Schizosaccharomyces pombe: one gene and its partner. The protein of the gene in region 1 binds, or shares a complex with, the protein of each later gene. Each region holds a gene or a part of one and is shown on either strand. Other genes may lie near its edges. The genes, in order: cft2 and ssu72.

Region 1 (5,087 bases):
TTTAAGGTTGAAATACCTCTTGACGGGTTTGGCAGTGTGCATACTCGCCTACTGGAAAAACAACAGCGTTAGTAACACCACCCAAAAGCCAGTGGAGTCAAACGATTTAGGCTATTTTGAAATTGAATTTAACGGGACTATGGCGAGTTCTCGACTATTAGACTGGATGTCTCGTATGAGGTCTGTTCCTCAACTAGAAAGGCTTATTCCAGCTCTGTATTTAGCGCATGGATGTAAGTATATTGAATCAACAGAAATTTATATAGCAGACGCATAATATGCTGAGTTAATGGAATTTGCTGACTGACTTCATCAAACTATCTCTCAATTTCATATAACTCGATACATAAACACTTTATTGATACTAGAATAACTAAAAATTGTTTAGCTCCATTTTTGATGTTACCACAATCATCGGATGATGAGGTTTTCAGTAATGATTCTAAGCTTGGAGGGTTACATTATCAGTTTTTAGAACAGTTAGGACCCTTTCTATTGGAAAAGTTTAGACCGAAGGGAATAATCGTCTTTTCTGCACACTATGAGTCTCGTGGATCAGTTGAAGTATATTCGAGAGACGATGAAAACCCACTTTTTTATGACTATTACGGATTTCCAGATTATTTATACCAGATCAAGTTTCATTCCAAAGGCTCCAAGCGGATAGCCGATCAAATAATTTCTGCCCTTAAAGAAGTATGCCAACGCAGAATCTTTTCTGTTTCATAGATTATTGATGCTAACCCAATAGTACCAAATTCCAGCAAAAACTGTTTCAGGTGATCGTGGATTGGACCATGGTGTTTTTGTGCCATTCAAAATCATGTTTCCCGATGGACTTAATATCCCATTAATAGAGGTGAGCATGCATACCCTAGATCCCATGCAGCTATATAAAGTAGGACAAGCATTGCAAAGTTTGCGGAAGGAGTATTTGATAGTTAGCGGAGGACTCAACATTCATACTTTCGAAGACCTCTCTGCATTCAATGAAGATACGGCAGCTGATGGATATAAAGAATTCCAACTGGATATTCTAAAAGCTATTGAGACTGATAAGGTATGTATGTTACTTGTCGTTGAGGATGAGTGCACAATATTTTGAACTTCTTGTACTAATTTCGAACCTATAGCAAAATGATCGTCTGAATAAATTATTAGGATTACAGCTACACCCTTATTTTCGAAAAGCACACCCACGCGAGGAACACTTTGTTCCATTATATGTCGCTGCGGGCCTAGGAAGCTCTGGGAAATCTAAGGTCGTTTGCGACCTCTATGGCGCCGTCTCTGCTTTTTTTGGAATCGATGAATGAATCAATGTCTAATTTACAGTTATTTGTTATTACAGAGTGATAATTTAAAAGCTAAAAATTATTTTGATAATTCACTTAATGCTTTCAGGACAATTTTCGATTTGATGAACCATTTCCTAAAATTAGCGCATTTTGAATAAATCGCCAATTGATAATCTATACCAGTCACTTATAACTCAACTCCTTACATGGTATATTTTTAATTAATGATGTTACCAAGAAACCGTATTTAATAAACATCCGTCTTTGTTAATATATAAAAATTACGAAGCCGATTTATCCAATATGCTCGTTGAATGATTTAGATTAACTAAAGATTTAGTTATAATAAAGACATTAAAACTGGTCAATTTAGAAGATTGACAAGTTTTCATATTATAGTATCGCTTGGATATATTCTTTCTGATAGCCATCCAACCCCCACTGTTTACTACCATCGAGTTGTAAAGTCCTGTCTTTGGGCAATAACCATGCTCAACTATCAATGTTTAGAGACAGACTCCTATTGTGGAACATCTCATATTGAGTTAGATGGAATTCATATCTATATAGACCCTGGCAGCGATGATTCATTAAAACATCCGGAAGTACCCGAACAACCAGATTTAATCCTTTTATCTCATTCGGATTTAGCACATATAGGAGGATTGGTTTATGCTTATTATAAATATGACTGGAAAAATGCGTATATATATGCTACTTTACCAACAATTAATATGGGTCGGATGACTATGTTGGATGCAATAAAATCCAACTATATTTCAGACATGAGCAAAGCTGATGTAGATGCTGTTTTTGACAGCATCATTCCTCTTAGATATCAACAACCCACATTACTTTTAGGTAAGCAATTGTTCTTGTGAAAAAAGTCTTTTGAACTTTTGATTATACTAATTCATGATTTAGGAAAATGTAGTGGGCTAACCATTACTGCTTATAATGCTGGACATACCTTGGGAGGAACTTTGTGGAGTCTTATAAAAGAATCAGAAAGCGTTCTGTACGCTGTTGACTGGAACCATTCTAAAGATAAACATCTAAACGGCGCTGCCTTATATTCGAATGGCCATATATTAGAAGCTCTCAATCGACCAAATACTTTAATTACTGATGCTAACAATTCACTCGTATCTATCCCTTCCCGTAAAAAGCGTGACGAAGCTTTCATAGAGTCTGTTATGTCTTCTTTGTTGAAGGGCGGTACTGTTTTATTACCTGTAGATGCCGCTTCTAGGGTATTAGAATTGTGTTGTATTCTAGATAACCATTGGTCTGCTAGTCAACCGCCTCTACCATTTCCTATATTATTCCTTTCCCCTACATCAACAAAAACTATTGACTATGCTAAAAGTATGATTGAATGGATGGGTGATAATATAGTTCGTGATTTTGGGATCAACGAAAACTTATTAGAGTTTCGAAATATAAATACGATTACAGATTTTTCTCAGATTTCTCACATAGGACCCGGACCCAAAGTGATCCTCGCTACCGCGTTGACTTTGGAATGCGGATTCTCTCAGCGAATTTTGTTAGATTTGATGTCTGAAAATTCAAATGACTTAATACTGTTTACACAAAGATCCAGATGCCCTCAAAACTCACTTGCAAACCAATTCATCAGGTATTGGGAACGTGCTAGTAAAAAGAAACGTGATATTCCTCATCCAGTCGGTTTGTATGCTGAACAAGCTGTCAAGATAAAAACGAAAGAACCTTTGGAGGGGGAAGAATTGCGATCGTATCAAGAACTTGAGTTCAGCAAGAGAAATAAAGATGCGGAAGATACCGCTTTGGAATTTCGTAACAGAACCATATTAGATGAAGACCTTTCATCATCATCTTCTTCAGAAGATGACGACTTAGATTTGAATACAGAAGTTCCCCATGTGGCTCTTGGATCTTCTGCTTTCCTAATGGGAAAGTCTTTTGATTTGAACTTGAGAGATCCTGCTGTCCAAGCTTTACATACCAAGTATAAAATGTTTCCATACATTGAGAAGAGAAGGAGGATAGATGAATATGGAGAAATTATCAAACATCAAGACTTTTCTATGATTAACGAACCTGCTAACACATTGGAATTGGAAAATGATTCAGATGATAATGCTTTATCTAATTCTAACGGAAAAAGAAAATGGTCCGAAATAAACGATGGTCTACAACAAAAAAAGGAAGAAGAGGATGAGGATGAAGTTCCTTCTAAAATTATAACAGATGAAAAAACTATCCGAGTTTCATGTCAAGTTCAGTTCATAGATATTGAGGGTCTGCATGATGGACGTTCTTTGAAAACTATTATACCACAGGTAAATCCTAGAAGACTTGTCCTTATTCATGCTTCAACTGAAGAGAAAGAAGATATGAAGAAAACGTGCGCCTCTCTCAGTGCTTTTACCAAGGACGTTTACATACCCAACTATGGTGAAATCATTAATGTTAGTATCGATGTTAATGCATTCAGTCTTAAATTAGCAGATGATCTTATTAAAAATTTAATTTGGACTAAAGTTGGCAATTGCGAAGTTTCACATATGCTGGCTAAGGTTGAGATCTCTAAACCTTCTGAAGAAGAAGATAAAAAGGAAGAAGTTGAGAAAAAGGACGGTGATAAAGAAAGGAATGAAGAGAAAAAAGAAGAGAAAGAGACACTTCCTGTTCTTAACGCCTTGACTTTAAGATCAGACTTGGCAAGAGCGCCCAGGGCTGCTCCACTTTTGGTAGGTAATATTCGGCTTGCCTATCTCCGTAAAGCACTTTTAGATCAAGGAATTTCTGCTGAATTGAAAGGAGAAGGTGTTTTATTATGTGGGGGAGCTGTTGCCGTAAGAAAACTCAGTGGTGGTAAAATATCCGTTGAGGGCAGTTTGAGCAACCGCTTTTTTGAAATTCGAAAGTTGGTTTACGATGCACTTGCTGTCGTTTAACTAATGTATGAAAAAAAAATTTAATTAGGATTACATAAAAAAAAAGCTAGTAACTAGAAAGGATTCATGTACAACATAACTAATAAATGTTTGGTAATAGAAACGGAACGTAAAGCTTTATGAAACAATCATTTTCCTGCTTCCCCTCTTTTCTCTTTCCATTCAACATTCCCCGTTTGTCTTGCTGGCAGGTCAGTGTTAGTGGGCGTGGCCTGGGAAACAGGACGCATATAACCATCAAGTTCATCTTTTTCACGTTTGTCTTCCTCCTCTAGAGCCTTACGTTCAGAATCAGTTAGTCGGGACCGAAACTCAATATTAATCTCATGCAAAGCCTGTTGTAGGACAGATTCGGGGCATCGATCACGAGGAAGACCATTCTCAGGGTGACGAATATATCTATGCGATACATCGCGAACACTATCGACTATTTTTGCATTAGTAACAAATAAAATTAAAACCTTTTCCGTACTCCCAAAACCCAAACAATATGACATCTTCTTTCCCCAACCTAATGCTGTTAGAAATCAAGTTTTTCAAGGAGTTAGAACTCTACCTTGTTCGTATATCAAAGGTTCATCGAATGATTCTTCACCACTATCGACATGCACCCAGCGTTGCTGTTTATTACTATAGACTTCCGTCCACACATGGTCCTCAGCATTCCAAATCCACCTAGCTCTAGATCCAAGTGCTCTGCATAGGAAAGTGAAACACTAAGAAAATGTTAGCTTTATATATTTATAAATATTTTTAACTCACGTTGGCCCACTCTCCACATCTTCCCTTCCTTGAATCAAGCAATGCTCGAATGCGATTATACCTGGGAAATCTCTGATTATGC
Region 2 (3,206 bases), on another chromosome or scaffold:
GAGACAAACGCTGAAGCTTTTCACGTGGCCTCGCATTGGCGTTCCTTAGGGCTGGGTCTATAAAATAGCGTTAGAGGTGATTACATTGTTTCCGTGGGTCAAAGCAATTGTACAGCTTAATTTTAAACCAATTTTTAACATACCTTTAACAAATTCAGGCTCTAAGTAACGAGCTAAAAACCGATATTGACGAATAATAATACTTTGCATAGTTTGAAAGCAAATTTAAGACTAGGGATTTGAGGAAAGAAGTTGGAAAAAATGAGCTTTCTATCTTTTTCAGGGAATTAAATGATATGTCCTTTCTTTTACGCTGACTTGAAAAAGATAGACTGTGTAAATTAACTTAAGGCAGTTGTACTAATACAATGGGCAAGGACGTGCTGGACCCTAAATTAATTTGATATAATTTTTCTGTGAATTAAATTTTTAAAGAAAAAGTCTTTAAAATGCCTAATGTACTGCCAAACACATTAACAGGCAAACGAGTGCGAAGAGAAATCTTCTATCTAAAAATATTACTGACAGCTTTGCGTCCTTGCCAATTTACTGTGTTTATTACTTAGAACGTTGTAGATATACTAGGAGAAAGGACATGCTTTATTAAATTCGATAACGACGTGTAACGATAAATGATATTAAAAAAAATGAATAGTATACAATACAGGAAGTTTAGGATGGTTAGATTGAAAGTCGGCCATTATAGAAGGGAACAGCTCTTCCAATTTATCCTGTGCCTCGGTTAATTTGTTGACTAAATCGAGAATGGCCTTTCCACCTACGCTGGCCTCCTCATGGTTATCTTTAATGTCAACGTTTATTAAGTACACAGGTCGATTCAATGTTTCACCTCGACGATACAGATCCTCACAAATGGCATCATAACATCTTTCTTCGCAGGTTATTACAATGTTGTATATGGAATCTTGGTCCTGCCACCGACAAGGAGCGCGCTTTATACGGCGATTTCGGTCAAGCATTTTAAGCAATCCATTGGCCGTGTATAGCCGGGAATCCTGGGCCTCGAGCTCTTTATAAATTTCATCATATGGATACCCAAATTGATAAATGTTAGGTTTGTCAATACTGGGACCCGGCAACCGTACAGCTGAACCTGTTCCGAACGAATCAACTTGGTATCCAGCATTCCTTCAATGGAGATTAGCAAACTACCTCATAAAATTCAAAAATGACATACTTTAAGACGTTGTGAGCTTCCATACTTCGATTTTGGTTCGAAGCACAAATTACACTGATCTGGAGGTTGGTTTTGGGAGCCATTATTTGGTATTATTGTTTACTGACTAACGTTGGTAAGGCTTTAAAAGGTTTTACTTTCCTTTCTTTATTATTGCAAGATTTTTATCTTACTAAATTAGACATACAGCCAAAGGTCCAAACTCGTTCTTTGCAGTGTATACAATATGACACGCTGTAAGCAACAGCCTTTCAAAATTACCACGCTGCTTTACGATGCGATATATCGATATGTTGCATCACAAAAGCAGAGGCTCTTGAAATGAATCTCATCTTTGCAGAGTATAATTTCTACTTTAATTAATTATCTTAAATGTTTTATAAAAATAAAAATTCTCCACGTTGTATTCGTCTGATAGCAATTTTTCAAAGATAGGGTTTGAATAAATACGTCTATACTCCACTACCCATACTACATTAATGATTGTTAACTTTACAAAATTATGCCTAATTCAAAAACTCCTTATTATAATATTAATAATAAAACTACTCATCGCCAGCACTTTAAAAAGCCGTATAAAATTAGTGAGAAATCATTGTATTGTCAAACAAAATTTGCGGTTGGATCAATCAACAATTCTTGGCTGTTAATCTCAAAATGAATAAAGTTCAAACATACAAACTGGCGTATGAAGCATTAAGTTTTGAGCTGATCTACTTAGAGTAGTTTCGTACATACCATACTCTTTCATTTCATTTATCGCTTAAGATTTCCAAGTTTTGAGTATTATATAGGGTAGGTCTTCAATCTTTGTGACTGTTTCAATAAATTCGATTTAGTATATATTTTGCATAACTTAACCAATTTTAATTCAACGCGAAATGATGACTTTAGGCATTTGTCCAAAGGATACAACTTCAGTTATTGAATTAGTACCACTGTAGACAAAACCCTAGCTACCTTTTAATTTTGTCTGATCGTGTGTAAAACGTTTACGACAATAATGATTAGCTTAGTTGAAGATATCGCGGATACTGAAAAATATATGACCAGCCTAAATAAAATCGGTGTATGTAATTTTGTCTTGAAAAGCTATAAAGTTACTGTGTGGTTAATGCAGTTTTTCGTTAGTAGAAAATACAAAAATCAGGTTCACTCAGTAAGCTTCTTAAAGTGAAATATGACATTCAACAGTACTCATTAATTTTGCGAATCGAAACAGTTAGTGACTTGCCTTAAATATAGTCAGTAAATAAGAAAAAAAAAAGAAAATGTAAAGGCACATCATATTATGCAAAGAAGGACTACGTTGCTATAATGCATGCAAACCATATCCAATAAGTAAAAGACGTAGATGCTATTTCTATATCAAAAGAAACATATTCACATGTTTTATATACAAAGAATCCGTCAGAAAAACCATACGTGCTAACTGGCAAATCGGCTCTTCCCATAAGTAGACGATGATCTTGCAGCGTCACGGTATAATCCTAATCTAGTGATTTCGTTCCCCTTTTCTAAAGCTTTTCTCGTTCGCTGGACTTTACGCCAAACAGACTTCTCCTTTTTAATATACCATATGTTTCAGTTAACTGATCGCGCAATTCAGGCTTAATAAACGGTAAGCAGTCTATATTTCTTTTTCTCTTTCGCTTCAAAATAGAGCTTTAATTTAGTTATTGTGATCAAATAGTCTCAATTATTCGTCTGCTATGAAGAATGTCAAAGCTGTTACGGTTATCATAATTAAAACCACTAACACTGACAAAACTGTTATTTCTTTTGATCTCTTGAGCTAACTGAGTAGACTTAATCACAGCGCAATTTTCTTTGCTTTCGTGTCAAACGATTATGACAAACCATTGTGGAAACATTTTGTACATTAGCAGTTATTTATTCTGCGCTTTCATTATTTACACCATTCGCCAAATTAGACCATCTTGAAGTGCAAAGTAGTAAATACATACGCTTCATGTCCAACGAGTAACAGTAAGAGTTCAATGAAAAA

What was found.
Region 2: cft2 (region 1) and ssu72 share a complex: the UniProt entries of both Schizosaccharomyces pombe proteins name them as parts of the cleavage and polyadenylation factor (CPF) complex.

Annotation. Positions count from the first base shown.
Region 1 is NC_003423.3:1,127,125-1,132,211, reverse strand, and holds cft2 (mRNA processing protein Cft2), read left to right. Parts: upstream 1-1,738; 5' UTR 1,739-1,786; coding exon 1,787-2,159; exon of another isoform or gene 2,160-2,222; coding exon 2,223-4,243; 3' UTR 4,244-4,258; downstream 4,259-5,087. Other genes in the region: SPOM_SPBC1709.16C (aromatic ring-opening dioxygenase), read left to right, coding at 140-233, 389-696, 752-1,060, 1,134-1,316; ngl1 (peptide N-glycanase), read right to left, coding at 4,372-4,670, 4,716-4,754, 4,800-4,959, 5,006-5,087. UniProt on the Schizosaccharomyces pombe protein: RNA-binding component of the cleavage and polyadenylation factor (CPF) complex, which plays a key role in polyadenylation-dependent pre-mRNA 3'-end formation and cooperates with cleavage factors including the CFIA complex and NAB4/CFIB.
Region 2 is NC_003424.3:3,175,850-3,179,055, forward strand, and holds ssu72 (RNA polymerase II CTD phosphatase Ssu72), read right to left. Parts: upstream 1,413-3,206; 5' UTR 1,282-1,412; coding exon 1,199-1,281; exon of another isoform or gene 1,150-1,198; coding exon 639-1,149; 3' UTR 578-638; downstream 1-577. Other genes in the region: spa2 (GTPase-activating protein), read right to left, coding at 1-57, 144-210. UniProt on the Schizosaccharomyces pombe protein: Processively dephosphorylates Ser-5 of the heptad repeats YSPTSPS in the C-terminal domain of the largest RNA polymerase II subunit (rpb1).